Cricetulus griseus: one gene and its partner. The protein of the gene in region 2 purifies or fractionates together with the protein of the main gene of each other region. This does not show direct contact. Links are inferred from orthologs where the notes say so. Each region holds a gene or a part of one and is shown on either strand. Other genes may lie near its edges.

The links.
Region 1: the proteins of Rbbp6 (region 2) and Srpk2 purify together in Homo sapiens (affinity purification with mass spectrometry; 4 studies listed by BioGRID and IntAct, with this or other methods). This does not show direct contact. The link is inferred for Cricetulus griseus from reciprocal best matches to the Homo sapiens genes RBBP6 and SRPK2.

What each region holds. Positions count from the first base shown.
Region 1 is NW_023276806.1:171,088,938-171,105,400, reverse strand, and holds part of Srpk2 (SRSF protein kinase 2), read right to left. Parts: intron 11,761-16,463; coding exon 11,660-11,760; intron 11,567-11,659; coding exon 11,459-11,566; intron 6,375-11,458; coding exon 6,305-6,374; intron 5,717-6,304; coding exon 5,624-5,716; intron 5,253-5,623; coding exon 5,160-5,252; intron 1-5,159. UniProt on the Homo sapiens protein: Serine/arginine-rich protein-specific kinase which specifically phosphorylates its substrates at serine residues located in regions rich in arginine/serine dipeptides, known as RS domains and is involved in the phosphorylation of SR splicing factors and the regulation of splicing.
Region 2 is NC_048596.1:77,703,568-77,720,030, forward strand, and holds the end of Rbbp6 (E3 ubiquitin-protein ligase RBBP6), read right to left. Parts: intron 16,173-16,463; coding exon 16,076-16,172; intron 15,936-16,075; coding exon 15,857-15,935; intron 15,770-15,856; coding exon 15,715-15,769; intron 13,956-15,714; coding exon 13,887-13,955; intron 12,087-13,886; coding exon 11,724-12,086; intron 11,435-11,723; coding exon 11,333-11,434; intron 10,533-11,332; coding exon 8,784-10,532; intron 8,474-8,783; coding exon 6,910-8,473; 3' UTR 6,495-6,909; downstream 1-6,494. UniProt on the Homo sapiens protein: E3 ubiquitin-protein ligase which promotes ubiquitination of YBX1, leading to its degradation by the proteasome.

The DNA of each region.
Region 1 (16,463 bases), on a different chromosome or scaffold from region 2:
CCGAAAGAGGGCATTGAATTCTCTGGAACCTGAATTTCAGACAGTTGTTAGCCACCATGTGGGTGCTGAGAATTAAACCCAGGTCCTCTACAAAAGCATTCAGCGCTCTTACCTGCTGAGTCATCTTTCTAGCCCCTTTATTACATCTGCAGCATGTGTAAATATCGGGGTGTGTGTGTGTGTGTGTGTGTGTGTGTGTGTGTGTGTGTGTGTGTGTGTGTGTGTGTGTGTGTGTGTGTGTGTGAACACATGTGCCATACAGGAGTAGGTACAACAGTAGGTATTCTCCTTAACCTGAGTCCTGAGGTCAACCTCAGGCCATCTGGCTTGGGGTGGGGGGTGGGAGGGTTGACAGACAGGTTTTACCTGGTGAGAAATCTGGTAGGCCCTGAATTTAATGAAGTTAAGATTGATATACATCTGTGCACAGCACAGTCCGATGATCCCAATGTACTTGGTGCCCTATGTGAGAATAAGTTTAGGTAACCTATCCCCCTTTGATGAATCCATTTCTGACACAATGAATTCACTAAAACAGTGGCTATAGATGGTCAAGAGAACACAGCCTAGAGACCGAGGACAACTGATTTACTCACCAATCCCCAGGAGTTTGCCACTCACTTCTAGGGAACAAATAAGGAACAAAATCCAGAGTGGTGCTGATTACTACTGGGACACATCTTAACAGTACTCTCCTCCCGTCTTCATTTTGAGAAAGTATTTCACTATGTAGCCCAGGCTGGCCTTCAATTCGAAGTGACTCTCCAACCTCACTACTGTATGTCACACTGAGCAAATTCTAGTTTCTTAATGGTATCAATGGGTAATGTCCACACCCAAGAAAATAACCAGCAAATTAATGTGATGTTGAGTAACCACATTCCTTGTCCCAAAATCCAGTTCAGTTTTTAACCTCTGGCCAAGGAGTAATTCAAACTAGTACTGGTTGTAACTTCTACAATCAGAATAAGAAAGACACTAGGCAGCTGCATCTGATGCTTGATTTTAAAATGGAATGGATAGAAATTGTACATTGGACATAGTGATATATGCCTTCAATTCTAACCCTTGGGAGACACAGGGAGGTGGAACTTCATGAGTTTGAGGCTAGCTGGGTCTACAAAGCCTATTATTTAAAACCAAAACAAAATGATGTCCTCATTCTCACAGACACACTTTGATGACAAGTCTTCACTCCTCCTACTATTGCTGTACATCTGTCCATGTCCAAACGTTTTCTAATTGCCATAGCAATTACAACCAACCAACCAACCAACCAACCAACCACCACAAAAGGAGGCCGGAAAACCAAACTCCTGGTCTTCTTAAGGGATTTCTGGCCTCATTACAAAGTCTCTCATGTCCAAAAGAAGGGAAAAGCATTCTAGTTACCACAGTAACACCAAATCACAACGGTTTTGGTCTCCCGTTAAAAAGAATGTTAAGAATGTACCACAGCATGGTGGTACAAACCTATAATCCCATCATTTGAGAGATTGAGGCTGGAGGATCAAGAGTTAAAAACAAGGAACCACAGATATGTTTCAGTGGTTATGAGCACTTGTTACTCTTACAGAGGACCCAGGTTTGATTTCTAGTACTCATATGGCATCTTATAACCATCCATAACTCCAAGTGGCTCTGATGCTCTCTTCTTACTTCCCTGTACACAAGGCACACATGTGCATATACAGGCAGGCAAAACACTGCATAAAATATACACAAAATAAATAAGTCTTAAAAAGGAGACCAGTGAAACTGTTTTCATAATCTGAGACAGACAGAGGGTGGGAACATAGAATACACTAGCTTTCTTTTTGTAAATCACTTTCAAACAAGTGGCTCAAAAAAAAAAAAACCCAAGCACTTAATTCCTAAAGAACAAGTGCTAAAGATGGTTGTAGACACACCATGCCCACAAATGTCCTGGGAGCAGGGCCATACATGTGAAATGTGCCCATAGTAAACAAAGCCACAGGACAAGCACATCTCCTGGGAATCATGCAGCTCATCATTTACCAACTGTCCTTTGAGGTGAGCTCTTCCAAATGAGTATGAAGATGTGCCATGGCTGCTGTTAGTTCTAGAAGGCATTCAATAGATACCGAATGAATGCCTTACAGTTCCAGACCAGCTACAAACCCTAAGGAGCCTAAGAGCACAGCTGGGCATGGTGACGCATGCCTATGGTTGCAGCCTGTGGAATACGCCTTTATATTGTGTGAATCTATGTCACAGCGACTGGTTTAATAAACAAGCTAACTGGCCAATAGCTGAACAGCATACAGCTAGGTGAGAAAGCCAAACCAAGAATGATGGGAAGGGGAAGGGCAGAGTCAGAGAAGTGGCCAGTCAGAGGCAGAGGGAACAGGAGATGAACATGCCATGTTAATAAAGGAACTGCCATGTGGCAGAGTATACATAGGAATATGGGCTAACTAGAAAAGAGGTAGTTAGAAATAAGCCTGAGCTATTGTCCAAGGATTTATAATTTATATAAGCCACTGTGTGGTAATTTGGAAGCAGTTTCCAGGACAGGAAAACTCTGCCTACAGGGAAGGCTGAGGCTAGAGGATCAGGAAATCAAAAAAAAAAAAAAAAAAGAAAGAAAGAGTGTGTGTGTGTGTGTGTGTGTGTGTGTGTGTGTGTGTGTCTGGGGTGGGGGTGGGGGAGCTAGAGAGATGACTCAGTAGTTAAAGAACACTGGTGGCTGCTCTTCCAAAGTTCAGTTCTCAATACCCATGTGTCAGGGCCCATAAAAATGGTTTCCCTTGGCCGGGTGTTGGTGGCACACGCCTTTAATCCCAGCACTCGGGAGGCAGAGGCAGGCATATCTCTGTGAGTTCAAGGCCAGCCTGGTCTCCAGAGCGACTGCCAGGATAGGCTCCAAAGCTACACAGAGAAACCCTGTCTCGAAAAAGCAAAAAAAAAAAAAAAAAAAAAAAAAAGATGGTTTCCCTTCATCTTGGCTTAAGGTCAGAGAGTTCAAAACTATCCTTACTCTTCCAAGGTTAAAGTCATAAGAACTAAAAGTCTAAGGCATGGCTACTGTAGGATATTTGGTCTTGGTCTTATCGAAATAACAGGGGACTTGATCTAAGGTGTGATTACTCAACCCTTAAGGCCAGATAATGAGATTTAGTTTAAGGAGTGGTTACTAAATGTTTGGAGAACTAAGGAAGAAAGTCTGTTTCTTCTTTGTATATTAATAAAGAAGTCTTTTGCCATTTTCTCCTTTTTGGTTGGGGTGTATTAGAATGTTGAAGAATAAACTTGGGGCATTCGGTATTCTCTGGATTGCCCTCCTGACTCTATTCTGTGTCTCTGTCTTTTCCTTAGTGTATTTACCTGCCTTTTCTCAAGCCACACTCTCCCTCTCAGGCACGAACTAGGCAAGTTGGCTAGATCCCACTGAAGACCCACAAAGGCGGATTACTACAGACTGATGCCACAATGTGGGGCTACTAAGCTACTAGGCTAATACACACACACACACACACACACACACACACACACACACACACACACACACGGCAGCTTACAACTATAACTCCAGTTCCAAGATATCTGATGCTTCTATAGGCACCATGTACATATGTGATGTACATACTGTAAGCAAAACACAAACACACACAAAATAACTAAATGAGAAAGAGAAGGGAGGGAGGGAGAGGAGGGAGGGAGGAACCAGTGAGATGGTTGGCTTAAGAGGTAAAAAGGTTTGCTGAATTTGGTCCCCAGGAATCACATTATTAAAAGGAGAGAAGAAACTGCAAAGGTGTCTTCTGATGTCCCCAATAAGTAAATAAGGAAATAGAATTTAAAGAGAAAGATGAGGAGTGGGAGAATGGTAGGGGAGTTACAATGTAACAACTTAGACTGGACTTTCCATGTCCTACTCAAGCTGAGAGAGAGTGTGGGTGCGTGTGAGAGTGTGTGAGTGTAAGTGTGTGTGTGTGTGTGTGTGTGTGTGTGTGTGTGTGTGTGTGTACACATGTTCATAGGGGGTGAATGGAAGGGCTAGAGGACAACCAAGGGTGCTGTTCCTTAGGAGCTCTTATCTTCTTTTGAGTCCATTCTCTTGGGGCCTGGGGCTTGACATTGTTAGTCTGGCTGGCTAGATCCCCAGGGCTCTAAAGTGCAGTGTTCCTGGTACCTAGATTACACATGCACACACTAACACATCTGACTTTTTTATGTAAGTAGTAGGATTGAGCTCAGTTCCTCAAGCTTGTACAGCAAACACTTCACCAACTAGATTTCTCCCCAGTCCTCAAGTAAACTTTCTTTAAAGAAGGATATAAACAAAACTGAACCTAAGCTGGTAAAAACAATTAACACCACCAAATAGGCTCAAGAGATATTAGCACCTAGGAAGGATTTTTTGTAAAACTCATGTAGCCCATGCTAACCTCTAATGTTTTATGTAGCTGAGGATAACCCTGAATCCCCCACCTTCCTACCTCCCAAGCATGAATTTTAAAGATTCATAGCTTTTTCTGAAGATTCATTTTCTTAGGGTGAGGGGAGCCCCTTGGGGCTTTAAGGTATTTTTAAGCATTGATATTGCCTAGGAACTACAAATGACAACTGTTCAGAGTCACAGCCAAGGGACGGTCAGTGAGAACAACATCATTAAAATCAATCATTGCCTAACACAACAGCACAGAAAGAACGGTATGTGGTTATGTCCACAGGATTTCATAGGCCTACATGATGCCAATAGCTCAGACATATCCAAGAAAATGTCCATGGGTATCTATGAAACCCAATATAGATAGAGAAGTCTAACTTTGTTTATAATCTAGGCTGGCCTTGGATTATTGATTCTCCAACTTCAGCCTCCTGAGTGCTGGGATTACAGATATGAGCCATCATACCCAGCTGAATCTAGCTCTTTCCCAAAACTCACTGGAAGTCCTTTCTACAAATATTTGAATATATAGAAGGGTTGAGAAAGGATTGTTGGAAGCCCGTTTTCTCACAAATGTCTTACTCCACAGATACCAGGTGGTTCCAGATTATTTTATGAGTACCTTCTTCAGCAGAATTCCCCAGTTGCAAAGTCTTGATCTTTTCCACTGCTCAAACATGAATGCACAATTTCTCCTTTTGGGAGAGGATTATGCTGAAAATTAGGGTTGCGTAAATACCGTTACCTTTTCTGGTGAAAAACTCCTTGGAATATTTCCCCAACATAGCGTATTTTCGAGGGACTTTCCCCAGCAGTTCAATGATCAATGCTATGTGATCTGCATTGGGAAACATTGCCAGCAAAACAGAAACACATGACAGTTTAATCAGTACACTGCATGCAGACACTATCACTGCCCGCGCAGACAGAAACGGAGCGCGACCCGAATGACCAATGACAGCCTTTGTCCAGCTGATTGAGAACTCAAAGCTACAGAGCATACAGCTGTCCTGAGCGCCAAGAAGGGGCCACTTCACAGGGCCAGCACAGGCCAGACTCAGTCTTCCTTCAACATTTGCACCGGCACAGATACTCTGCTCAGCTGCTTTTGGAATTTAGAAGAAATGCTTTGGTCGCCATGAACGCTGCTCCTGCAGCGTTCCCATTTCTGTCTGCATCGTGGCGCTTTTCAAAGAGAAGAGGTACTACCTCTGCGATTGAAGAATTCCCGAGAATATTTTCCAGACAGGGCAAAGTGCCTTGGGATACTGCCTAGCAGCTCTATGATGTGGGCTATGTGGTCTATGAGGAGAGAAAAAAAAAAAAAAAGGATATAGGAACAGGGAGGGCAAAGGGAAGGATGGGATAAAAGAAGAGGGGAAAAGTGAAATTAGTAAAAAATCAGAAATAGATTCAAACCAACAATGTCTGCAGCACAACCATGCAGAGATTTCTGGGACTGGCAGGCCTCAGACACCAACTGGAGCCCCATCAGTGACTGCAGGCTACCCCAGCATTGCAAGCAAGGAAGCCTGGAGATGGTCAGGTTACAGAGGATTCAAGTTTGAATTCCCTGGTTGTCAAGTGAGCTCCCAAACAGGACAGAAAATGGGCAGCAGCCGCTGTGGACAAAAGAATCACAGAGTGGCCCTTAGGGCTCAGGAACTGGTCGTCATCCACCAGTGGGCTTCCTTCTCCCAGGAGACCAGGGAAGCTCTGTCAGCTGGGTGCTGCCCACTCACTGGCACTGAGGGGGCTTCAAACTCAAAGGAAAAGCATCTGAATTTGGTGTTTGAAAACCAAAACGTGGGTTCGTTTCAATACAATCCTCTCTAGAAGTTGAGGAGGCACAGAACCACATCAATGTACTCAGTGGGCAACAATACTCACCTTCATCTCTGGAATAGTCTTCCCCAGAATGCGGTTCGAACAAATAGTCTCCTGTTGCCAGCTCAAATGCCTAGGACACAACAGATGACATGCTGAGCACATCAGAGATGGCTCAAGAGCCAGAAGCTCTTTATTAGAGGATGCCTACATTTGCAGAGGACCACAAGCAGACTAAAGACCATCCCAGAACAGCTCAACCCCTAGTTTTCCTTTTTTTCCAGAAAGATCACAGAAGCTGCAGGGATATTTTCACATGTCTTCTAATGGGAGAGGGAAGGGGCACAGCTCTTTTTACACTGTAGGAAGTGGAATTCAGGATCTTTTGGGGTACCAGCTCCCTTGAGATCCTTTACAGGGTCCAGTCAAGATTCTATAGCCTGCAAAGAACAGCAGCAGCACTGGTCACTGCACACTACAGCTTCTACACAGAGTGAAATAAGGCTAAATTCAGGACTCAAGCAGGCCTTTGTGAGTCCAAGGCCCCTTAGAGCAATATTGCTGTGCTTTCTTCAAGCACTTAGGATCAAGGACTAGTTCCAGCATCTTGGTCATCATAAGCTTGCTCATCTCTCAAGCAGAGGAGCACCTAGCACCAAGAGTCCTTTCTCTCTTCTACCAGATGCAGCAAATCCCCCTGCAGGCCCTTCTTAGATGGCAGGGAACAGAACTCTCATGCTGCTATACTCTATCTCTCAGAACATCAGCGTGAAGAAAAGCCCACTCATTTCTACTTCCTTTGCTCATAAAAAAAGGCTTAGGACCAGGAGTCTGATTTTGTAAGATGCTCAAAGACAGCACTTGCTATTGTGCTGATGATCAATTGTCTTTTAAAGGTTAACTCCCATTTCTAGTTTCTCCCAGATTTAATGCTACTGTGGTAGCCTTTCCTGCTTGCTGATGCTTGTGAATAGGTGACCATGCTGATACCTCTCCTTTTTGTGAGACTGACTGCTTTTCCCATTGCTGCTGAAGAGCCATCTCCAGCATTAGTCATCCTCCCTCTCTCCCTTCTGATGGCCAGAATGCTGAGAAGGCTCCTTGAGGCTTATTTACCAGGTAACAGTAGTCTAACAAACAGGGCAGCCACATACCCTTGAGACATGAATTTTATCCTGACTGAGAAGGAGGAAAGCAAGACAAGAAAACTATGATCAGCTGCCCCTGTGCTGAGTATAAACTCAGGACACCTGTCCTGAAGCAGACTTGGGTCTAACAGGGCACTGGATAGTCATCTCAGCAGAAGACAGCCCAGAAGCCCAGCATTACAGCTACAGCAAGGACAAGGGCACAGTGCACAGAGGTTCTCTGGTGGGGCCCCACACCTAGCCACCAAATTAACAAGCATGGCAGCTGGACCAATATGATAAAGAAAACTTTTCATTTGGCCCCAATTCCAAGTGGATGAGAATGTCTCATGCCGGTAAAATAAGTCAATAACCTGCAAATCAGGAGGGAAATTTGGAAATTCTAACAGGATGGAAGAGACTTTAGAAGCTACTGGGATCCTGGTTCCAAGGAAAACCTTCCATCCGAGTTAGTCCCTCTTGAGGCTTGTGCTCACCCTTTTCATTGAGGCTACTTCTCTTTGCCCAACATTGAGATGGGCAAAGACAGATGTCCTTTAAAAGATGGTTGTTTTGAACAGCACTCAGGTTTCCAATGTAGTGCTTAGAGAAGGCTATCAATGAAATGATTTAAAAAGAAGAAGAAGAAGAAGAGGATGGGGCTGGAGAGATGGCTCAGGGATTAATAGCACTGGCTGCTTAAGAGCAGAGGCCCAGGGTTCAGTTCCCACATGGTAGTCTCACAACTGTCTGTAACTACAGTTCCATAGGATCTGATATTCTCCTCGGGCCTCCATGGAATCCACCTACATGTGGTACACAGATATACATGCAGGCAAAGGACCCAAACACATAAAATAAATCTTTTTTAAAGAGGGAAACAAAAAAAGAGAGAGAATTAGAAAAAGAGAAAGGGAGAATGGCTCCCTGGATAGAAAGAGTGATTAGCTTTCTTAATACAACAGACAACAGGGTAAACACACGTGACAATGAAAACACATGTTTAATGCTAGCAGCTGTGGAAACAGGAAACATTATTGCCACCTACTGACTAAGCTGTTCTCTATGTCAAGTTCTATTGTTTGTATTCAATATTAGGCAACTCTGGAGTCTCTTTCTGTTTCCCTGGGTCCTGTCTGTTGTCAGTTCTGGGGGTGCTTAGAGCTGGAGGCTTTTGTCAGTCCAGTGACTGCGGTGGGAGCTTTCCAAAGGAACAAGCCTGCAAGGTTGTGAGTGAAGTCACTGTTCTTCCTAGAGAACAAGCCATGGAGGAGGAAGCAAATACACGTGACAATAATTTGTCCTAAGTTTTGTTTTGTTTTTTTTTTTTTTCATTCTGCTGATAACCAGGACTCACCAGGGAGACACAAGAGCTCCCTCCCCTATTTGGACAAGGACACCTATGTACAAAGAGGTAACACAGAATTCCTGACCCACGGCCTTCTGTATTGCTGAGGACAAATAGCAATTTGCCTTGCCACAGCCTGAAATGGGAGACACACACTGCCCATTCTGTCAAGGAAGTCATTTCCTTCTGACCTGGCCTCTGCCTCCTGTAATTTTAGCCTCTACTTCCTCTACCCTCAAACTGCAGAACAAAAGCCTCTCCACACAAATCCTCAAAAGGAAGTACCTATCACATGGACGGTAGCTTCTTTCAAACACTAAGAACTTGACTGTAGGTTCTTATTGAAAAACAAAAGTTTTTAATAATTTTACATTTATTTTCTGGAGTTACTAGAACAAGAGTCTAGGAAGGCATGGTGTTTCATGTCTGGCCAGGCCACATCAATAATTTCAGATAGTGATAACTTGAAAGATGAAAAGCATCTCATGTTTCTCACATCACCCTGTATCATCTGCTTAACAAAATGCTTTTACATTGGACTGGAGAGATGGCTCAGCAGTTAAGAGCATGTGCTACTATTGCAGAGGACCCAGGTTCAGCTTCTAGAATAATATAGACACGGCAGCTCAGTGGCAACACCAGTCCCAGGGGATGAGACACCCTCTTTTGACCTCCACAGGCACCAGGCATGCATAATGACACACAGATATGAATATGAATATGAATATGAATAGATAGATAGAGAGGGGGTTTTCAAGGCAGGGTTTCTCTGTGTGGCCTTGGCTGGCCTCGAACTCACAGAGATCTGCCTGTCTTTGCCTCCCAAGTGCTGAGACTAAATGTGTGCATCAACACAACTGGCCAAAAGTTTTTAAATAGTTAAAATGGCTTTATATTAGCACTACTGGACATAAAATACAGAAGATTCAAAACAGTGATTAAATTAAGTTCTGAACAACAGGTAACCATCATATTTATTCTGCTCCCTCCTACCTGCCCTTTCAGAAGGTGAGCACTAAGCCTTGCATACTTGGCTAGTGGGGGTGAACCTCTGGGCTCCATCCCTGGAACTACAAAAAACTTAAGCAATACTATAGGATAGCCATGGCAGCACTGGAAGCTACATGAACACACGCATGCCACCTTTTCTACCAAAGAACAACAAAAGCCCAGTGAGAAGAATGTGCTGAACTGGCTGGATGCTCAGTGAAAGACAAACTGGTATTAGCTCACAGGTGAGGACCTACTCAGGGTCACCAATTCAGATCAGAGCAAATAGCAAACGGTACACAAAAGCCTGGTGCAGTAGCTATGTCGTAACCTCAGCACTCAGGAAACGAGTTTTGAGACCAGTCTGGACTACATTTTAAAAATGGGACAAATAAAAAGAGTTGCGCTGAAGCAATGGCTCAGTTGTTAAAGTGTCTACCATGGAAGCCCATGAGTTTGATCTCCAGAACTTACACACACAAAGGCCAGGCATGGCAGCATGGGCTTGTAAACCAGCATTAGAGAGGTGGAAACAAACAAGCCCTGGTGCTCAGTGCAGCCAGCCTAACCTAACCAAGAGCTCTAGAACAATGAGATAGCTTGTCTCAAGAAAACAAGGTGGATGACTGAAGAGTAACACCCAAGGATGACCTGTCTTTTACACTCACATGCATGCATATGTGCACGCAGCTATATACACATGTGTACTTGTGTGCATGATGTGTGGTGAGTCTGGGTTTAGCTTACAAAGACAAAAATTCAGAATGTTCAAATCAAAGGGATGTTCCTGCTGCCTCCAGGAAAACAACACTGTGTTCCAGGGAAACAGACTCAAACCCAGGAAGTCTGTGCCACCAATGCTGTCTCAGGAAAGCAAGCACATGCCAAAAAAAGGGGCAGAACTCTCTGCATTTGAGTTACAATAAAAGCAACTGTGCACTGGCAGATGGAGAAATCTCAAGACCTCTGGGAGAGGCCACCTTCCAGTGGTACAAACTTTTAAGTACAGTCACCCCACTCGTGTGAGAAGGCATTTGGCTTTACCTCATAGTGTAACAGGGAGCCTGATACACGTGAAAACTTCCAGAAACTAAAAGCAATTCCTCCAATGAAGTCTGATTCTTGGGGCACTGGGCTGCACGGTGCCCAAAGAAGAGACCATCTGTCACAGACTATACCTCTAGCATATCTGAGGAGAATTCTTCCAATGCTTGTAACACCCAAGCACAATCTTCTCCTCCCCCACTTTATAAATCTCCAGCATGATTCCACTCATCAAGAGGATCCACCAGAAGTCATTTCCAGGGAAAGAAGAGTGGCAAGAGTGAAAGGTTCAGGCTTTGATGCTGATTGGCTCTACCTCTTTAAGAGACAGACCCTGACCCCTGAACAGTCAGGGCATGCCCAAGAAAACGTTCTACGTCATCACTACGTCACCTGTCACCCATGACGACTCTGGGCATGCGTGGAACCTAAGTGCGCATGCGCAGTCTTCCCTTTAAAAGTCCCAACTTCCCGCTTCTCTCTCTCTGCTTCCTCTCTACTCTCCTCTGTTTCTTCTTGGCTCTCTCTCACCTATGCACTCTCTCTGCCTCTATGACGACCGGCTATGGCAGTCAACCATTACCCCTGTTCCTCTTCTCCTAGTCTTCCTACTCTGCCAGGCCCATATAATAAACTAGTCAACATGTCTCATCCTTCAGCTTTCTCTTTTCCTCTCTTTAAATAAAAACATAACAAAGGGGTCCTCACCATGCAAGCTGTACTCCAGATGTCTGCAGGTGTGCTGTAGCCAGCTCCGATCAGAACCTCTATGGACCTATACTGCCGAGTCTGGATGTCCTCTGTAAAATGTTTATGCTGGAATGGAATAGAGGTGATACATATTGTTTTAAAAGAAGCATGTTCTCACACAATATCATCATTAAAATGTAAAAAGAAAACTCTACTTACCACCCAACAAGCATTTCCCAGATCAGCAATTTTTACTCTAATTTTATCTGCATTCTGTGGATCCAGAGGGTTCACCAACAGGTCAGCTGCCCGGGTTTTTGCTGCCATGAGCAAACAGCAAGATAGTTAGTAAAGGGGACAAGAGGTTTGCATGTGTGAACACATGTTTGCCAGGTACAGTCTCAGTGTCTCCCCCCCCCCTCTTAAGGAGAGTGACACGATAAGCCTAGAATCCTGCAGGTTGAACCACTGGTGAAACATTAAACCCACATAAAAATAAACATAGGTAACCAACTGGTAGTGAACACTATGTAGTTCACCATTCCCTACTCCAGCTTCCTCAACTGAGCACTCAAACATCAAGGGTTAGATGACAACTGATTAGCAAATTTAGATTATAGGCAGGGGCTAATCTTTTATGGCTTGGTTTTGAATGGGAAGATGAAAAATAGTGTTCTAACAAGTTGAAGAGGGCCAGTGTTAGGTCAGATGCCTCAATTTTAGGACGACACACCCAGAGGGAGTCTCTACAGCAAGCCCAGAGCCAGGGCTGCTGGCTTCAGAACATCTCTTGGCTAACCCCTTACTATGCTGAAAGTAGTTATGAGAAGAGCAGCACATTCATCTGTAGAGTTCATCTGAGCCCTTATACACTCAGGGTTTTTGGTCACATTGAAATGGAATTTATAGACTAAACAGAAAACTCAGCTTAATGCAGAACATTAATGCCAGCATTGGGGAGTCATTTTGTTCATGCCAAGTTGATGCTTGTGTGCACTAAGCTGCTTTCGTTCAGTGTGTACTGAACTCAGGAACCACAGTGCTTGATGGGGTTCAGTCTGTTGGTAAACCCCAAAGAGGATGAAAGGCTGGACTTCTAACAGCAGGGCAGACTATAGCACAATACCAGGACCTACACTGTCCAGATAATCCAGAGGAAGGCTACAGTCTCAACTCTAGTCACTGTCTGAACTCCCATGGCTTTCTCTATTTATGAATCAGCTTGGGCTAGACAGGCAGAGAGGTTCTCTTCTTGCAACTTGTCTTATGTCGTATGTTTGAGGATGGCTACTTACAGAGGGTCTTATCAAAGACTAGGTAGGAGCTAAGGAAAAGAGAAAAAACAAAGAAACAAATACCACAGGAACTCAGAAGATAATGATAATGAAAGAAGCAGAATAACCTAAAAGAGAAGGCAGAACGTGGAAATGACAACAATCCTGGTCCCTGATAAGCACACAACACTGAACAACAGATGAGTGACTAGATGAGACACACCTCATATTACAACCCCTCCCCCCAGGGTCCAGAACAGTTTTGTTCAACTGGATCCAAATCTTAGTTTCATACCTGAGAATTGCAAGCCTAGCAAATGACAAATTCTTTGAGACTGTTTTCAGGAAAGAATGAAAAGGACCAGCCTCTGTCCCCAAAGACAATACCACTCCACCCAACCCCACCCCACAGCCCCCCCCCCACACACACACACGTATTGAAGTCAGAACAGTATCTGGCTGAGTGGCCAAGACTTGATTTTGCTTTAGGGTCAGTGAGTAAGCAGGCACCTGAAGCAGCTACACAGACATTCTGTGCCACACTTGATACTAGGGAGCTGGGCTGGCAGATGTCAGGGTACCAGGGAAGCAGGTAATTCATAATCTCCTGATCTCTCCTTGTGGTTGTTTATAAAGACACTTCCAAAAGCTGTGTGATTCAAGTGCATTGGAGGAAAATCGACTTAAGACAGTATTACCATGTGTTTAAACAGGTCTCTGCAGGTAACATTACGCTCACTAAATTAAATCTGGTAACATGTTATTATCCTCTAGTTCCAGGGTATCATAAACAATCATAGGTAATTTGTTTCCATAATTGAATTGTATAAGAACACAACAGGAGATAAAATATATTCTGTGTGCCTCTCTGATTTTCTGTCTCAAATGTGCCAGTTTCCATGTGAGGGAGGAACCTGACTGCAGCACGCAGAAAGCCCACATGAGCACAGATGTACTCACACCTGCTGCAAACTCATTCTTGAGCGTGCCTGGACTCTCACTGCTTCCTTAGATTTCGACACCCACAGTGACCTGTCTTACTTGTCTCTCTGATGATGCTAGCACAGACGACTTACTGGCACTCTCCCCTCTGAAATGAAAAGCTGGTAACTTTCCTCTGCCTCCACCAGAGCATGAATAAAAACTGTCAGGTTTTATTTTAGGAAGCACTGGGATTTTAAGCCACTTTCTCAAAATCTGATCTCTTTTGTCTAGCAAGATGGTAGGTGATGAGACAGCTGCCAGTATTGTGTTACGCACGACATGTTTAAAAACATCCTAAAACAAAGGATTTTGTTTTCTCCTCATCTGGAGAGAGGATATATAGCCTCTCTCCAGATCAGGGTCAGAACCGGGACCAAGAAAGTGGAAGAACTGTAACAATTAACACGAGTACCTGACCCATTCCTTACCAAACACTTGCCAAGGCACTTCTATAAGCTAATATGGTGCCACAACACAGTAAAAAGACACACTAGAATTAGCAAACTCATGTCATACACTGGTTGGAAATACAGCCAGTAATAGCCAGGCAGTGGTGACTCACACCTTTAATCACAGCACTCAGGAGGCAGTTTGAGGCCAGCCTGGCCTACAGAGTGAATTCCAGGACAGCCAGGGCTACACAGAGAAACCTGATCTCAAAAGTGTGTGTGTGGGGGGGAGCGCACAGAGGGAGGGGGAGGGAGGGGAAGGGAGAGGGAAAGGCAGGGAGGGAGGGAGAGAGACAAGGAGGGGGGTAGAGAGACAGGGAGGGAGAAAGGGGCGGGAGGGAGGAAGGGAATATATATGTAAGGATAGAAGCAATCCATATTAACATGTCAGAAAACTAGATATGCCACAAAGAAAAACAAAACTAAGAAGAGAGATGACTGAGAAAGTGATGCTGAAAATCTTTTTTTCTCTTTTTACATTTATTTATGTACTGTAGAGGGGTACAGCACTTGTATGGTGGTCACAAAAATACCTGTGTGTCCAGGGGATTGAATTCAGGTCCTTAGGTTTGGAGGCAAGCACCTTTACCTATTGTGCCATCTTGCCAGCCCCTGAGAAAACTTTTCTGGGAAGGTGGCAGTCAAGGAAAGCATGAGATGTCCAAGGGAGAGGAGACAGGTACTGCAAAGACCCTTACCCACGTCCAGCACACAATCCATAAAAGTTTGAAGAGCCCACCAGCATGGGTAGTACACAGACATCAGCATACTGTTAGGAATTAGACTGTGGAGTGTTCAGCATTTACAGAGGGATGTGAGAAATATAAGCTAGTTAGATCATTTGGGGCCAGGGAGATGGTGATGGGATATGCTTCAAAAAGATACATGTGCACTTCTAGACAGAGAAAAACCTAAGGATTAACAGCTAAAATACAATGTCCATGCCATGGCAGCCTGCTAAGGACTGACTGAGAGGATTATGGAGTGAGAACTCCAAAGCGACCAAGCAGTCAAACAAACAAGACCATGAGATATGACCTAAGACAATCTCCTCATCTCAACCACCAAGAGCTATCAAATTACTTGCAAATCCACATCCTTCCACCTGGCATCTAAGTTCTTCAAACGTCATAATTTGGCCCTAGTCTGCCTTACTATTCTCTTATGTGTACATCTTGCTCTAATGGCAAAACCAGCACAAACACACATCAATGCTTACATTGGGAGTGGGGAGGGGGTTTGCACTGCTCTGGATCAGGGAAAATAAAAAAAAAAAAAAAACTATTGTCAAACTAAAGAGAACTGAATATGGAGTGAACAACAAAAATATCTTTAGTTAATTCTCCAGATGATAAATGCTTAACTGTTTAGAACTATCCTAATATCTATAGCATGTAGTTTCTATATAATATACACATACCATGGCAAAATGTTAATTCTGAATATAGTAGAGGATATATAGCTATTATATTTGAGCTAGACTTTCAAAATAACTATTTTATTATACAAAGGTGTCCTAATAATTCATTTCTGTACTTCAGTTGATTGTTCCGTTGCTGGTGGACATATGCACCACTGTGTTGGACCCCGTAAAGAATTAGGAACAAGGGAATTTGTCTGATTAGCATGATGTAAAACTCCAGCAGGAACCTGGGAGACTGATTTGGAAGGAAGTCAGGAATAGGTGGAGACAATACACAGACAGAAATGAGCCAGAAGCCTCTGCAACAATAAAGCCGAGCAATGATCTGTCCCTTAGGGTCAAGGCAAGGAGAGTCCTACTTTGAGAAGGGGCTGGCAAGGGTCTCTGGTTTGCTTTCTATTGCTATAATAAAGCACTGACCAAAGCAACTGGGAAGAAGAAGGGGGTTACTTGGCTTAGAATTCCACATTACAGACCATGATTGAGGGAAATCAGGGTAGGGAGTCAAGCAGGAACCCAGAGGCAGAAAACAAAGCAAAGGCGACAGAAGAACGCTGCTCACTGACTTACTCCCCACAGTTTTCTCAACTTCCTTATACAGCCCAGAACTACCTGCCTAGGGGTGGCATCGCCAAAGTAAGATTGGCCATCTCAGATCAATCGTTAATTAAGAAAATGCTCCACAGATATGCCTACAGGCCAATTTGACAGAAGCATTTCTTCAACTAAGGTTCCTTCTTTTCAGGAGACTTGTTTGTGTCAAGTAACGAAAACCACCACACAGGGTATAAGCAGAAAATAATGGGACAATCAACACAATACCAGCATGTTCTAACTATGATCCACAGCTGCCCTGCACACTGCGAGTCACTCCCAATAGGGAATGAAAGCAC
Region 2 (16,463 bases):
TCTTCCCTCTCTACAACTGGATTCTAGGAGTTTGGCTCAGTGCTTAGCTGTGGATCTCTGCTTCTGCTTCCATCAGGTACTGGATGATGGCTGTAGGATGGCATTTAAGGTAGTCATCAATCTCATTATTGGGGAAGGGGATTTAAGGTAGCCTCTCTACTCTTGCTTAGATTCTTAGTTGGGGTCATTTTTGTGGATCTCTGAACATTTCCGTATTGCTAGATTTCTCTTTAAACCTATACTGGCTCCCTCTATTATGGTATCTCTTTTCTTGCTCTCTTCTATTCCTCCCCTGACTTAGTCTTCCTGATCCCTCTTGTCCTGCCTCCTCCTCTCCCCTTCTCTTTTTCCTCCCTCCCTCCCCACCCACCCCTGACCGTGCTCTCAATTTGCTTAGGAGTTCTTTAATGGGAAGAGAGTTTCACTTGGAATGAGAAAGTTCTAAAGGTCAATATTGTCTATGTGTGTATGTCAGTGTGAATGTTTTTTTCAGGATTGACTTTTATTTGTGTATATGTCCCTCTGTGTGTGTGTGTGTGTGCATGTGTGCTCCCTCAGAGGCCAGAAGAGGGAGTCCTGGAACTGGAGTTACAGGTGGTTGTGAGTTGGCAGACTTGGGTGGTGTGAACTGAACTCAGATTCTCTGAAAGAGCAGCAAACCCTCTTAACCACTGAGCCATCTCTCCATCCTCCAGTGTTCATAAAAACATTGTGACAGGCAATCTAAAAATGACTAATATGGGAAATATTGTATTATACACATTATTGCAATCAAAATATTGAGACATCAATTCTAAAATTCATAGAAAAGTAAAGGATGTAGAAAATAAGAATAAAACTTTCAATAAAACTAATTTTGGAGGATTAAAGAATCAATATATCACAGTGCAAATGCAAAGACATGAAAAATAAGGGGACCAGAGAGTTCATAGAGAGACCCAATGGCCAACAACAGAAGGGGCACCACAACAGATACAGTAGATCCTTTTAAACAAATGGCAACAACACAACTAATTTTCATATGCCAAAGGAGACCCCTGACCAGGACATTGCATTATGCATAAATATTAACTCAAAAAGAATCACTGACACTTTCAAACTCGTTTTATGAGAACAGCATGAGCCCGATACCAAAACAGTGGTACAGAAAACCAGAAACCAATAGCTCTATAGGTGGGAAAATACCAGCAAACTGAATTCAGGATTGACTTTTATTTTATTCCGTGTGTGTCTGTGTGTGTGTGTGTGTGTGTGTGTGTGTGTGTGTGTGTGTATACACAAGTGGGATTTAGCCCAGAAATGTACTTAAATTAACGTAAGAAAGCAAATGAAACAATACTCTGTTAACAAAATAAGGATGAAACCCTCATGACCATGTCAAAAGCTTTGGGAAAAGCATTTGATCAAATCCAGCATCCTTCCATAATTACAAATACTTTATAAATGAGTAGAAAGAAGTATTATTTTTCTAAAAGTTTATTTTTTATTTTTATCTGTATGAGCATTTTGTCTGCATGTATATCTGTGCCCCGCATGTGTGCTTGGTGCCTTCAGGGGCCAGAAAAGGCAGTCATATCCCTTGAGACTGGAGTTATAGAGTGGTGTGAGCCACCAGGTGTGTGCTGGGAGTTGAACCCAGGTCCCCAAAACTGCTGGGACAGCCCTTTAACCTCTTTTGTTTTGTTTTGTTTTTTGTTCTGTTGGGTTTTCAAGCCCTTTAACCTTAAAGAAGCATGTTTACAAGTAAAAATCCTGCACTGTTTGAAGACATTGACAGAGAGATGACCAGTCAGAAGAGGGATCTATTGCCAAGGGCGACTATCTGAGCTGGATCCCTGGGCTCACGTGGTAGAAAAAGAGAACTAACTTCTGAAAATTGCATTTTGATTTACCATGGTATGTGCATGCAATCACACACACACAGGTATTTTTTTTTAAACTAAAGGCAAATGAAGCTTTAAAAGCCACTCAATTTATAATAGCATCAAAAGTAATATCCTAGCCATTGTTTTTTCAGAAATAGACAAGCCTAAAATTTTATGGAAATGGTAGGGACTGAGAATAACCAAAACAGTCTCTAAAAATTTCTAAAACACTCGCTGGAGAGGTGGCTCAGTGATAAGAACACTTGCCAGAGAGGTGGCTCAGCAGTCAAAACACTGTCTACTCTGGTAGAGAACCTAATTTAGTTCCTTACACCTACACCGTGGTTCACAACCGTCTATAACTCCTGTTCCAGAGGACATGTCGTCCTCTTCTGGCCTCTGCAGGCACTACATACATGTGATATGCATATATGCAGGCAAAACAACCAAACACGTAAAACATTTTTTAAAATATATAAATCTTTTAAAAATTTAAGAACAAAGTCCGAGAAGTCACACTTCCTAATTTTAAAACATCCCATACACAGTGGAACTGGTACATAGGTAAATATCTGTAGACATATATACATACCATTATTTATATGTCTATCTATGGGAATCAATAGTATAAAACTGAGAATCCAGACATAAATCTTTATGTCAATTATCGGGTGATTTTGGAAAATATCAGCAGGGCAAATATTAGTTCTTCAGCAGGTGGTTCGGGGACATGAAACATTCCCTTGCCAAAAAAAAAAAACAAAGCCGGGGGGTGGTACTGCACGCCTTTAATCCCAGCACTCAGGAAGCTGGAGCAGGCGGATCTCTGAGAGTTCGAGACCAGCCTGGTCTACAAGAGCTAGCTCCAGGCAGCCTCCAAAGCCACAGAAAAACTCTGTCTCGAAAAAAAAAAAAAAAAAAAAAAAAAAAAAAACCAAAACCAAACAAACAAACAAAAAAATACCAAAAAAAAAAAAAAAAAAAAAAAAAAAAAGGGTTGGAGAGATGACTCAGCAGTTAAGAGCACATGACAGCTAACAACTCTATGCAACTTCAGTCCGAGGGGATCTGATGATACCCGCTTCTGACCTCTCCTGGCACCTACACATACATGTAGGCAAAACACCCAGCTTCCACACAGCAGCTCACAACCATCTAGTTCCAGGGGATCTGATGCCCTCTTCTGGTAATTCTGGCACCTTGAACTCTAACATCATGATGATGATCAAATTCCCCATGGAGATCAAGACATCAGATGTTTTATACAACTCAGAAACAAAGGTAGGGCTGGCAAGGTAGTTAGCTAGCTACCACCAAGCTAGAGGATATGACTTCGATCCCTGAGTCCCAAATGGTGGACACTGTCCACTGGTTTCCCCTCCACCCTCATCCCATGCATTTGCCTGTACACACACACACACACACACACACACACACACACACACACACACACACAGTTACAAAAATAAAATGTAAAAACAAATGTACTTAGAATAAAAGGAAGTGCCACAAAAAATCCTGTAAAGAAATGGATTAGTCAAATGGCTTTGAACTCTTTATATCAGAAGTGGTAGTAAAGAATTTCTCTAAGTATGACTGAAGATAATTTTTATACAGAATCCAAGGGGTAAGAGAATCTCTGAAATTACAGGTTAGACATTTTTACCATCTGAGAAACCTAATCAGAGATTTGCTAGAGCATGCATCCCCTACTCCAAACAACGAGAGATGACACTGTTCTGTCCTAGCTCTGTTTGTCTGATTTTTATTTTATCTTATTATTATTTTTAATGTCTGTTTATATTCTATTGAGACTGAGAAAGAGTGTGGATTTGGGTGAGCAGGGATGTGAGGAGGAGCTGGAAGAAGCTGGGGGAGGTGGAAGTGTAATCAGAATATATTGTATTAAAAAATCTATTTTCAGGTCCCCCCCCCCCCAAAAAAAAGCAAAGTAAAAATACCTAAAAAAAAAAAAAAAAGATACTCCTGGGTGGATGACAACAATTTGATGAGAAGGTTCGTAGGGCCAGAGTGAATTCCCAGGAGTTGGCAGGATGGTAGCTTTGTGGAAAGATTAGAGGGACAGCCTGTTTCTGCTCAATAGGAAGAAAAAAGCTATAGCAGGAATAACCCAACTGGGAAGAGAAAAGTAAGATAGATGGAACCCTTGGTTCATTTGAAAGTACTGAGAGGAAGCCATATTTCTTGGATCCATTGCTAACCATTTTCTAAAATGAGAGATTTTAATAAAATAAAATAAAATTTTATGAGGAACCTTACTTTAGCAAATGACTCAATTTTGAGGTGTTTTATATTGTCTTTATTGTTGTGGTGCTTATCATGTGTGTGGAGGGGCTTCGTGAATGTCAAGTACAGGTGGAAAGGTCTATGGAGTCTGTTCTGCCCTTTACCTTTATGTGGGCCCCAGGGATTTAATTCAGGTTATCAGGCTTTTGAGGCAACTCAATGATGCTGAGCCATCTCGTTGGTTCTCAACTTTAGACATTTTATACATAAGCATTGTGCAGGGCCATTTTGATTTAAGCCAGTGGTAAAATTTTACTTGAATGGATGTGGGGAGAGGTGCACCAATGTGTTGGTTTGGGCCTTCCCAAATCCAATTATGAAGACAATGAAACTTTTTTGTTTTTGTTTTTCAAGACAGGGTTTCTCTGTGCAATGAGGCCAAACTCAGGGAGATCCTCTTGTCTCTGCCTCCTGAGTGCTGGTACTAATGGCGTGCACCACCGTCACCCAGTGATAATGCAACTTGCATTGGCATTTTTTGTTTTGCTGTCAGCGACATTTAACTTTTATAAATCAAATGGCTATTTGTGCTTCTGTATAGCTTAACAAGCTGTGGACAGAGGGAGCGTTGCTGTTTGAGAGCACCACCGTCAGTAGCTGCTTCTGCCCTCTAATGGCACAATTCCTCTCAGGTGGTGTGCCTCTCGGTTGAGGAAAGTGCCTTAATGACTAACTTCAGTTTAAAAGATGAAGAGCTTCGGTGTACTGGGATGGGGGTATGCACACAAAAAGATCAAATAGTAATTTAAAAAGCAAAAATCTTTTTATTGGCTGCTATTTCAAGTTGTCCTCCAATCTCTACACCTATATAGTCACATACAAAATAAAATGTCTTTGATGTGAATGGAGGTCAAAGGCCAAGCCTGGGGTTGGACCTTCTCTTCCACCTGGAGTCAGTGTCTGTTGTTTGCCACATACAGTTACACAAGCTTCTGGACAATCTCTGATCTTTACCCTCCATCTCATCATTGTAAGAACACTGGGATTACAGATGCATATGTGGTCCTGGCTTTACTTGGGTTTGCAGCATTCAAACTCAAGTCCTCAGGCTTATGGAAGCATTTAACACACTGAGCCAGGTCTCCAGCTTTTGAGTGTTTGAAAGTCAAGGCTTTCAATTTTGTTAAGCAGGCATAGGTTCTGTGGACGCTGACATATGAAAAGGTATAGGTCACAAGAAAATAATGGAAAGGACTAAGGAGTTCAAACACTAACTGATGAAGCTGGACAAGTGCTGATAATTGCAAAGGAACAACACCTTCACATGGTCAGTAGCCAGGAAACTGTCACAGGAGTGGGCTGCAACTCAAGTGCAGGCCAGCTAAGCTTAAAGAATGAGCCCAATGTGAGAAACTCAGATCAGATAGGATGGTTCTGTGTACCAAATCTACAATGGATGTGGGAAACAGGATCAAGTTATAGATCTGATCAGCCAGAATTAAGAGTATAATCTAGCTGGATTATCTCAAAGCTTAAGTGGCATGCAGGCAGGAGTGGTCAGGACATGCCACTCCAGACATCAGGCATATGTGGGGACAAACAAGTGCCACTGGCATTATGGCAGAGAGAGCCATCACCAAAAGTATTTGGGCTCAAAGGCAGCATCTCCAAAATGAACTTGGGCCTGGATGGCTTTCATACCCTCGGCACTTGTGTTAATTTCCTTTACACCAGCTCTCAGGAGCTGGAAAGATGGCATGGTGGTGAACAGTGCTTGCTGCTCTTACACAGGACCTGAGTTTGGTGCCATCACTGGGTTCCTAAAGCAGCAGAGGAGAGGCTAGTCTCATGACCACTTACTTTTGTCAGTGGGGAGAGGACAGACAAAACCACTTGGCTTAAATGATTTCTGTTTCTTCAAGGAATTTAGCATAATGTAGCAGAATTCCAAGGGGAAATGCAAAACAAAAAATACAAAACAGCTAGAAAATAGGCCCAATTCCTCATCTCTAAGATGAAAGCACCCCATCCCCTTTTTAGAAACCCAACTTTTTTTTTTAAAGATATATTTATTATATATACAGTGTTCCATCTGCATGTATGCCTGCAGGCCAGAAGAGGTTACCAGATCTCATAACGGATGCTTGTGAGCCACCATGTGGTTGCTGGGAATTGAACTCAGGACCCCTGGAAGAGCAGTCAGTGCTCTTAACCTCTAGCCCCCGAAACCCAACTTCTAATTATCAGAAATGAGGATTTTCTACCAGCCCCCTCTGAAGTACATTTGGAATGTTTAGAATTCTGTCTATAAAGGCTGGAAGGATATTGGAAAGAGAGGAAATGAGACACTATTGTCTCTAAATAATGTACATCTTCAACATGTAAGAAGTTTACTGAAAACTTTTATTGTAATCAAAAAGTGACATAACGGGGCTGTAATGAGTTCAGCAAATCATTCTGCTGATATTTTTGAACTGATACCAGCATTTGCCAGGCAATTAAAAAAATTCAAATGTGAAAATTTCACAGTACAGTAAACTCCACCCCAACTAATTAATGGTGGTTAAAAATAATAGGCCCTAGCAAAACCTCTCATGTTCCATGGTCACAGCTCACAATTCTGTACAAAAGTTCGTTATAAAGCTCTGATGTAAAAATGAAATAATCAAGCAGCAAATACTTTTTAAGTGCAGCACAGGGTCTTCCATTCATTATTTACAAGGCTGGAATCTCTTTACATTATAACAGAGTTTAATACAGATGACTTAGTAATTAAGTCAATTAAAACATCCGTCCTTCACACAGTGACAGATTTCGCTTTTTGGTCGTCTTTCTCCTTGTCCTTGTCCTTGCTCTTCTTTGCCTTTTTCTTCTTGTGTTTGTGTTTCTGGCTCTTCTCGGCGTCGGCCTCTGCACCCGCATGCTTCTTGTGCTTCTTGTGCTTTTTATGCTTCTTGTGCTTTTTCTTCTCTTTCTTCTTCTTCTTCTTCTTGCTGTCCTGGCTTCCTGCTGAGCTGGCACTGCTGCTATGGCTTCGGGTCTGGCTGCCAGAAGGGCTGTGACTTCTACTTGGACTAATACTGGGGCTGCTCTGACTCTGGCTCCTGTCTGCACCTGGCTGGATGGCTGCTGCTACGTTCAAGCTCTCTTTTGCTTTCTCTGTTGTTTTCTCTTTCAAGTCCTTGGAGATACTGGCCACAGCTTCCTCTTCCTTCACAGACACGTTACTCTCACTGTCGCTCTCGTTATAGTCTGGTTCAAAAGCAGCCTCATCAGTCTCTCTAGTTAGATCAGAGGAAAGACGAGAGGAATGACTGAACTGGGGTTTTGGCTTGATGGTGCTCTTATCAATCTGTCCAGCAACCATTTCTTTCTCAACTGCAGGGTCTGGTGGGTTAGGTATATACGGCAACTTGCCACCACTACTGGACTCTTTCCCGTTTCTAGCCTCAGCAGCATGCTTCTCCCGTTCCTTCCCAGAGTTTTTATCTACAGACTTTGTCTCTTCACATGAGCGTTTGGTATCGTAGGGGGCTTTATGATCATGAGGCTTTTTGTCTCTTGGGGGACTAGAATTACTTTTTTTGGACTCTGTCCCCTTTTTAGGCAAATCTCTCTCCTCCCTCGGCTTACCTTTCTGTCCAGATGAAGAATCTTTACCTCGAGGAGGAGAGTCCTTCCTTCTTACTAACTCACTTCTCTCATCTCTTCGCTTGGAACTAGAATACTCTCTGCTGTCATAGTCTATTTTCTTGTCCCTTCCAGGAGTGAAGTCTTTATTTGAGGAACCACGAACAGATTCATGTTTATCCGAAGTCCTGGTCTCTTTGGAAGACTGAGACAGATTCTTAAAATTTCCTTGTTCACTCAGACGGTCTGAGGTGCTCTCCTTCTCTGGCTGGGCACTGCTCTTTCTCTTGTCAGGGATTTCCTTCTCTAACACCGAGTGCTCCCTGTCTTTGGTTCTCCCCTTTTCACTGGATGCAGAGCCTTTTGAGCTTTTGACTTCATGCTGCGTCATTTCGTGGCTCACCTCTTTGGTGAGCTTCTGAAGTTTCTCTGACTGCTCACTTTCTTTCTCAGTGTACTTGACTGGAGCGGACGGCTTAGTAGTAACATTTTTTATGATACTAGATGGTTTCCCTACATTTTGTACAGGCTGTGTGGATTTAACATCTTCTTCTTCAGATTCAAAGTCATCTTTATCCCATTTGGACTGAGGAACCTGGATCATAATTATAACGTCTTCAGCAGGAGCTGTATTATCATTATTATATTCCTCCATAGTTTTAATGACTGTCCTCTTTGTATCTGTCTTTTCTTCAGATTTCCGCACAGGACTGCCTCCAGTTGAGCTTGTACTAAAATAAATGAATATACTTTTAATTAATGAGAAATTTACTAATGATAAATAAAAATTTGAAAAGCCAGCTTAAAATAGGATGTCTTTTTTAGCTTTAAAAAAATTAAATTATGCTCTAAGAAACACACACATGATCAAACTATAAAAACCAATGTGGTTCATCCAACTTGTTATAACCTAGCCTGAAACTATGCTGCTACTAGGCTAGTCTATTGAATTGCCATGAACCAGGCTCTCAAGAACATAAGTGTATAAGATCAAAGGATATCACTGCCCAAAAAGGACACCTGCCCCCCAGGCCCCCATACCTGGTGTAATCCACAAGTGTGGAGCTGGAGCCTTCAGTTCCAGCTACTTTCCGCTTGGCCTTTCCCTTGACTTTTTCCTGTTTAATTTTGCTAGATGTTGACTCCATTTTTTCAGAGGGTTCTTTTGTAGTAGATGTATTTTCTGCACTTCCAATTTTTTTCCCAGTCTCTCTGTTGAGTTTAATTTTCTTGGCTGGGGCAGTTGATAATGCAATCTTGTCCTTTTCTGGGGTCCTGTCTAGCTTTTCGCCATCACCTTCCATTTTTCGCTTTGGCGATGGTTTCACTATTTCAGCTCCTTCTACTTTAGAAATTTTCATTGATGATGACTCAAAATCTTTATCTACATTCTTTTCTTCAGTTTTTCTCTTTCTTTTTTCTCCCTTGCTATCAAGTAGTTTATTTTTCTCAGGCTTCTTGGCCTTTTCATCCTTACTAGCTGGCTTTTCTGACTTGATGTCTTTGGAACAGTCCTTTTTCACCTTCTCCTCCTTGACTGGCTTTGTCTCAGGGTGTTCTTTTGCAGATTTAGAGTGGGCTTTTCTGGGGGTTCCAGTGACCTTATCATCCTTCTGAGACGATGATGAAGGTTTTACAGAATCAGTCTTTGCAGCCTCCTCTTTGGCTTTTTTAAGTGGAGGTTCAGACCGAGGAGATTTTTCACGCTCCCCATCTACTTTTTCTTGGGGTCCTTTAGAAGGTTTTAAAACATTTTCTTTCTTGGTTGTAGTAGATCCATCACTTTTCCGTTTGGTCTTGTCACTTTTTACTTTTGGCTTATCCTTTTCTCTCTTGTCTTTTTCAGATACTGATTTGAAAGTGATAGATTCTGCATCCATTGGTTCATCCCTAACAGGTGTAGCATCGTCTCTACTTGGGAGAACAAACAATGTATCTGTCTTAGCGTCATCAACACCTGATGACTCCCTGGATTTCCTGGAGGTCTCTAACAGCTCGGGGTTCAGGAAGCTCTCACTCTCTTCCCCCTTTCTTCGTTTTCTGTGTTTCTTATGCTTGTTTCCTTTATTGTCTCCTGGAATGTTCTCACTCTCCTTTGATTTTGTATTATCTTTTTGATTGTGACTATCTCTTGTTGAAAGCTTTTCTGGATAGCTGCCACCTAGATTTCTATTTCTATGACTTTGTCCAGCAGGATAGTCGTCTCTGCGCCCTCTTGTGAAGGGTGAATTTCTGATATTAAGAGGTAAAAGTCTCTCTGGAGAGAAGTCCTCTCTGTTAGCTGAGGGTCTAGGCTGTGTCCCCACAGCATACCCTTTGTAGTACTTCTCATACCACTCTCGGTATTTCCTCTCCCATTCTCGGTAGCGTTCTTTCTCAAATGGGTCTCTAAAGTCGACACTCCGCCCATAATAGGCTTTAATGTCATAAGGGGGTGGAACTTCTCTGTATCTATTAAAATACTCACGTTCTGTTTCTCCTTGAGGTACATTACGCTTAGTAGGAGACTGTCCCCTAAATGCTTGAGGAGATCTTGACCTTGAATGATAACGTCTATATGGAGGTGACCTTGACCTAGATCGGTGATATCCATGAGATCTGGACCGTGAACGATAATTGCGGCTCTTGCCTCTGCCTCTCCTGGGGTATGGGGGTGATCGTGAATAGGAGCGAGAGTGTGAGCGGCTGAAGGATCGAGAATAAGAGCGTGACCGTGTCGAGCCAGATCTTGACTTTGAGTAAGTGTATGAACTTCTTGAATACGATGAACCACTATAGGGAGATTTAGACCTAAAAACAAAAACACAGTTGATGGTTGAGAAATATATACAAAATAAAAACAGATAGATTCTAACAGTTTTATCTTTCTTTGCATCAAGTTTCAACTTAGATGATTAAAGAGGCACAGTGACCTCTACTGGAATGGAATAAAGTACATAAACCACTTGTTACAAAACAAAAGGCAAGTATTGACAATCAGTGGAGTGCATTAATGTACCAAGAGTTTTATGAGCTTATTAACATTAAACAAATGCCAATTAAATTTAAATTTCCTGTCTGATTATTTAAGCTAGGAGTCTATTTTTATCTTACACTAGCCAACAGTCTAGCTTTAAAAGGAACCACATTTTAAATTTAAGTCTAAAAAACAAAAAACTTCCAGGGAACTTCTGTAATTCAGTTTTTTTCTATCAATACAACAATGTGTACTCTACCACTGCTTTTTAATCACACAGGTTAATGTTCCAGCAAGAAGCTGTAGCTTTATGGCAAAGGCCCTCAGAATGCTCTCTGGCTAGTTCCCTATGTCTTTCCTTCCATAAACATTCCCCATTTATTTCATATTATAAATAACTTCAAGGGACAAGGACAATTTAGTCCCCACAAATGCTAGTTCTACACAATAGAATTTACACTGAGACATTATTTTAATGGACATATTGGGGAATAAGCTACATCTTCTCCATTCTATAAAACTAGACCGAATCAGAAAAATCTCATAAGTGCAGTGTTATTTATATCCATAGGTAATCCCTGGATATTCAAAGTCCCATTTGTAATTCTGTTGTGAAGGCTTGCAAAACACTAACCTGGAAAATGAGCGCCTACGCTCCTTTTGAATCTTTTTGTATTCCATCAATTCCTTAGCAAAATCATTTGTAAACTCATCTAGCTTGGACTTTTTCTTTTCCCTAGTAAAATAAAGTTAAAGAGTGAAAGTTAACAAAAACCATTTAAGAAAACTAACAAGACAAATGTAATTAGATCATGAATGAAATGAATGAAATTGCCATTAGTTCTCTACTTTAAAACTATAAATAACTAGGTATCCCTGACGAAGTTGCTCGTATGGCTTTGGTTTAAATTTTAGGTGAACTTTCTTTACTAACTGGAAACACTGGAAAATGTTTCCAAAATACCTATTTAATGTTGTATCAGAAAATGAAAAAGTGTATGACAACTTCAAATGAAAATACTCACTCTTCCTTTAGTCGTCGTTGCTCTCTATAGAATTCTTCCCTGGACAAAGGTGGTGCTTGCGTTGTAGGGATGGTATTTGAATGAGCAGTCTGAACTCCTGATGATACCCAAGGTGTTGATATATTGGCAGGAGCTGGTGGAAACCCTGGAGGAGGGACACTATATCCTGCAGGTGGGGGTTGGCCAGGAGGAAACTGAGGAGAAAACTGTGGGGGAGGTACACCTGGAGGAAGAGGAAGTGTATGGGGAGGCGGCGGATACAAAGGAGGTGGTGGAACAGGTACAAAGACGGGAGTTGCTGGTAGTGATGGGCCTTGAGTCCTCTGGGATCTTTCGCTGTGGTGTCGCCCGCGGTTTATACTTCTGGAGAAATAAATTCCAAGGTATTATACCTTTAAATTAAATTCATCTGAGACAAATGAGGTTGTCTTTTTCTGTTCTTATTTTCCAAAGTATAAAAAAATGGAATAGAATCAACTACTCAAATCAAGATGTATTTGTATACATGAACTCTACAGGCCAAGTATGGTGATGTAGGTCTACAGTCCCAACTACTCAGGAGGCTGGACAATCACTTTTGACACCAGCTTGAGTAACAGCAAAAACTTGCTCAGAACAAAAATCTCTCAACTAACTGTATTTCAAAATCGTGGATCCTCTGCAAGAGCATCATATGCTCTTAGCCACTAAACCTCTCCAGCTCCAAGATCTACTTTTTAAGGTCACTTAGCAACAAACAGGAAACATATTTTGAAGGAAGTGACAGGTTAACACGGCTGTGATCTAGGTCTCTCCCAAATGCCTTTCTAGACCCAAAATTCACATTAAAAACCACTGTAACTTCCTTTTGGAGGAAGTGGGTGAAGACCAAACAAAACAGAATCATATGAATTCCAGTACTTGTAATCAAAACTGAAAATGTCAATGTTTTCCCTTATAAACTGAAGTAACAGTGCTAAAGTTTCTGAACTGTCTCAAAGAATCTGTGTGTGCTTTTGTTAAGCTAATGGTTTTTTATACAATAAGCAAATGGTATGTGACAGCAACAGCAGGCATTTAGGGTTAAATGTGCTCAGAACCATGAATTGGTACACATCAACTTCTTTTAATGCAATCTAGTCACAAAGGCATCTAACTGTCATAAGATTAGCAATTCTGAATGGAGCACTAGAAGATCAGTAATAGCCTTAACAAATCTGGAAGTCTTTGAACCTTGATTTAAATAATCACCACCATAGTAAAACTTATGGCTTCCTGGGAGTAAGAACCCCAACAAATCTCCTGGACTTTTCTTTTGGAAAAGAAGGTTGGGACAGAAAGAAACACAATACTTTTTCCCATCTGGGAGCTGAACTGGCTAACTTTCCTTCATAAGCTGTATCTTGCCATGTACTGATACAGACCAAGTAATCATTGGAAACAATACAAAGAACAGAGCCCGATGGGCCAAAGAAATGGCTCAGTGAGTGGGTAAGAGAGCTTGCACAAGTGCACAGAACTGAGCCCAACCAAACTCCCAACACCCACCTAAAAAGTAATGTGTGGCCATGCATGCCTATATGTAACCCCAGTGTTGGGAGGGGTAACAGGGGACTGCTGGGGCTTGCTGCCTAGTGGTCTAGCTCCGGTTTCGGTGAGTTATCTTTTCTCAAAAGAATAAGACAGAGAATAGTAGAGCAGGGTACCTGACACCCTCCATGGGCTTCTGTAAGCATGCATGTTCACATACATACCAAAGATGGAGACTTAAATTTTTGTCATTGTGCTAATTCGTCTGTCCTATATTCTGCTTTTCCATACTACCTTCCTGCCCTTCCTCCACAGACAGGTCTTGGTATGTCATTCAGGCTGGCCTCCAACTCACAATCTGCCTGCCTCAGCCTCCCAAATGCTGGGATTACATGTGTGCACTACACTTAGCAATAAACAGTTTTTGTAAACATAACTTCAAATGAGATTTTATACTGCATCTGCTGGGGATTGAACCTAGGACTTAACATAGGCTAGGCAGAAATTAATCACTGAACTATATAGCCCCTAGTTCCTAGATTACTTAAGGACAACTGCTAAAGACTTAAATATCTCCTTCCTCATCACTTCTGTGTTTTACTTCTTTACCCAGTGTGCCATGGAATTATTTTCCAACAGTTTCAGCATGCTTACCTATAACAATTTCTTTCCCCTCTTCTAATTTGCTGTGGTGGAGAAACCAGGTACCCAAGCTTGTTGGAACTGTGCAAGATGAAGAAAGAGAAAAACAGAATTGAGTATTTCTAAGTTTAATATATAACCTATCAGTGCATATACTTGAAAGAATTTTAACTTTTGAAAATGTTTTCATAATCTTGAATTCTTAAAATTGTTCTAAAGATCTAAGCTAAAAAATATTCTATATTTTCATTAGCACTCTACAGACTTAATGTTTAGAAAAGGGACCTTTAATTTGCAAGGCTCTATGTAGGTATTTTACATGCTTTTGAGTGCTACAAACAAAAAAAAAGGTGGCTGAGGAGAAACCTACACGCTCACAGTCCTATACTCAGTAAACAGATGCCAACTCAGGTATGTCTGTCTCTAAATTTCACGTTCTTCTACTGATATATTCTGCTAATCTCTCTTCAGTCTATTTTCTCTAACATGCATGTTTGCATGCCTGGTGGCTTTAGAAGTTTCAGAAGAGGGCACTGATCCCCTGGAGCTGAGTTACAGATGGCTGTGGGGTATTGGGAATTGAATTCAGGTCCTCTGTCCCTCCAGCCCAAATCTACTAATTTTTAATGCCATAAAGCATCTTACAGACATTAATATTCTTTGTGTGTCAGGGCAGAAAATCATACAATCCTGTAGATTTCAATAACTATTAACAAGCCAGAAAAAAAATGAGGAACTCTTGTGGTAGACATTAATCTTGCAATGTGTTTACTTACTAAACTGTATTTTGCCCATCCAAATAAGATGAGTTCAACCATTTAGGAAAATAAAAATATAGAAAACTCACACATAGGATCAACGCACTAATCTAAGGTCCTATCAAGATCCGTATGTTCTTAGGAAGAAATGGACTTATCAATCTGTATTTTACTATTTTGGAAAAGAATTACAAGGTGACCTTGAAATGAGTTTTAACTTTATGAGCACACTTACTGTGGTTTTTTTTTTTTTTTTAGATTTATGACAATTTGAAAAATTTGTAGACAGACCAGGTAGCTTGAAAATAGTAAAGAATTGAAAAGGGTGTTATGAATACATTAAATATTGCTAAAAGTCCATTTTATTGTTTTTTTTCTTAAGCCACAAAGCATCTAACCTCATAAAGTTAAAATTTATTAAACCTATGTAGGCTATATACAGCATTATTCAGCCAAGAAAAGTCAAAGATGCAATACTAGATCAAAACTGGTTAAAATTAATCATTGTATACACGGTGCCTCTGGAATTCTACTCTCTAAGCATTTATCTAAAGCACTGGGAGGTACTAATGATCTCCATGTGTGGTTTACTTTTGCTAAATTGGGTATCATACATTTTCCACCACATATAGTACATATAAGGAGTCAATCAACTATGGTACTGGGGGAAGGCCAGTCAAGAGACTGACTATGAGTAAAGCTTTGGAGAATTAAATGTAATGGGCTGGGGGCAAAGCTCCAGGGCAGAATACTTCCCTAGCATGCTAAATCCCTGGGTTCAATTCCCAGTAACTCACAGACACAAACACACACACAGACAGACACAAACATAGTTATGTGTATATTTTCAATTGTATGGATGTCAGTGTCTCTAGCCCCCAAGTTTTTCAAGTGTCAAATACATTTGTTCATTCAGATAATAATTGGAGATGCAAATTTGAATTGTGACGTTTAAAAGTATGTTAATCTGGCATATTTAAAGGAGTTTATAATAACCATTCACCAAGCTTCTGTCTAATTTGTAGTCTCTACTTTTTAGGTCAAAGGCAAGTATCTGAAGGTTATTCTGAATATGTACTTACTGTTCCCAACCTGGTCGACCACCACCTGGACGAGCAGCATTTATTCTTACTGGACCTTATAAATAAAAAAGAATGAATGTTAGATTCACTGTTAATAATTTCCTAAAGGGAAAAGGGTCCAAATCAAAATAATGTTACTTACCAGTTGTGGGGATCAACTGTCCATGTAATAATGACTGTCCCAACAAAGATGGAGTCCCAAGGACAGGCACTTGGTAACCCTTTGAGAAGCACACATACACACACAAACAAAACAAAAAATAGGAATAGTTTTTAAGTTTTACAAGTCAAAGCAAAAATAAAACAAAACAAAACAACAAAAATCTGTAAAAAACTAGATTCTAAAGCCAGTAAAATCTACCTTTTCTTCCATAAGAGCAGTAATTGCAATTGAGGAGGCCCCCTTAGAATGTTCTGATGCCAGGGCGGCAGCTGGTAATAATTTATTATCAGAATCCCTAGAAAACAATATAACATAACAAAACATCACCAGGGTGGACGATAATGAGTAAAATGATAACAATCACTAATATTGCTTATATATGTATCCTGCATTAAAATGAGTTCATGACAACTTCTGAGATGAGTGAAAGGATAGGCTGTAAAAAGCTCTTTATACATTACATAAATGCCTGGGCCAGTTAGATGCTTTAGTAGTATAGACACTTGCATGCAGGCCTAACTGGGATTTGGTCCACAGAGAACCAAGTCCTTACAGCTGTGTTCTATCTTTACATACATGCTGAGGC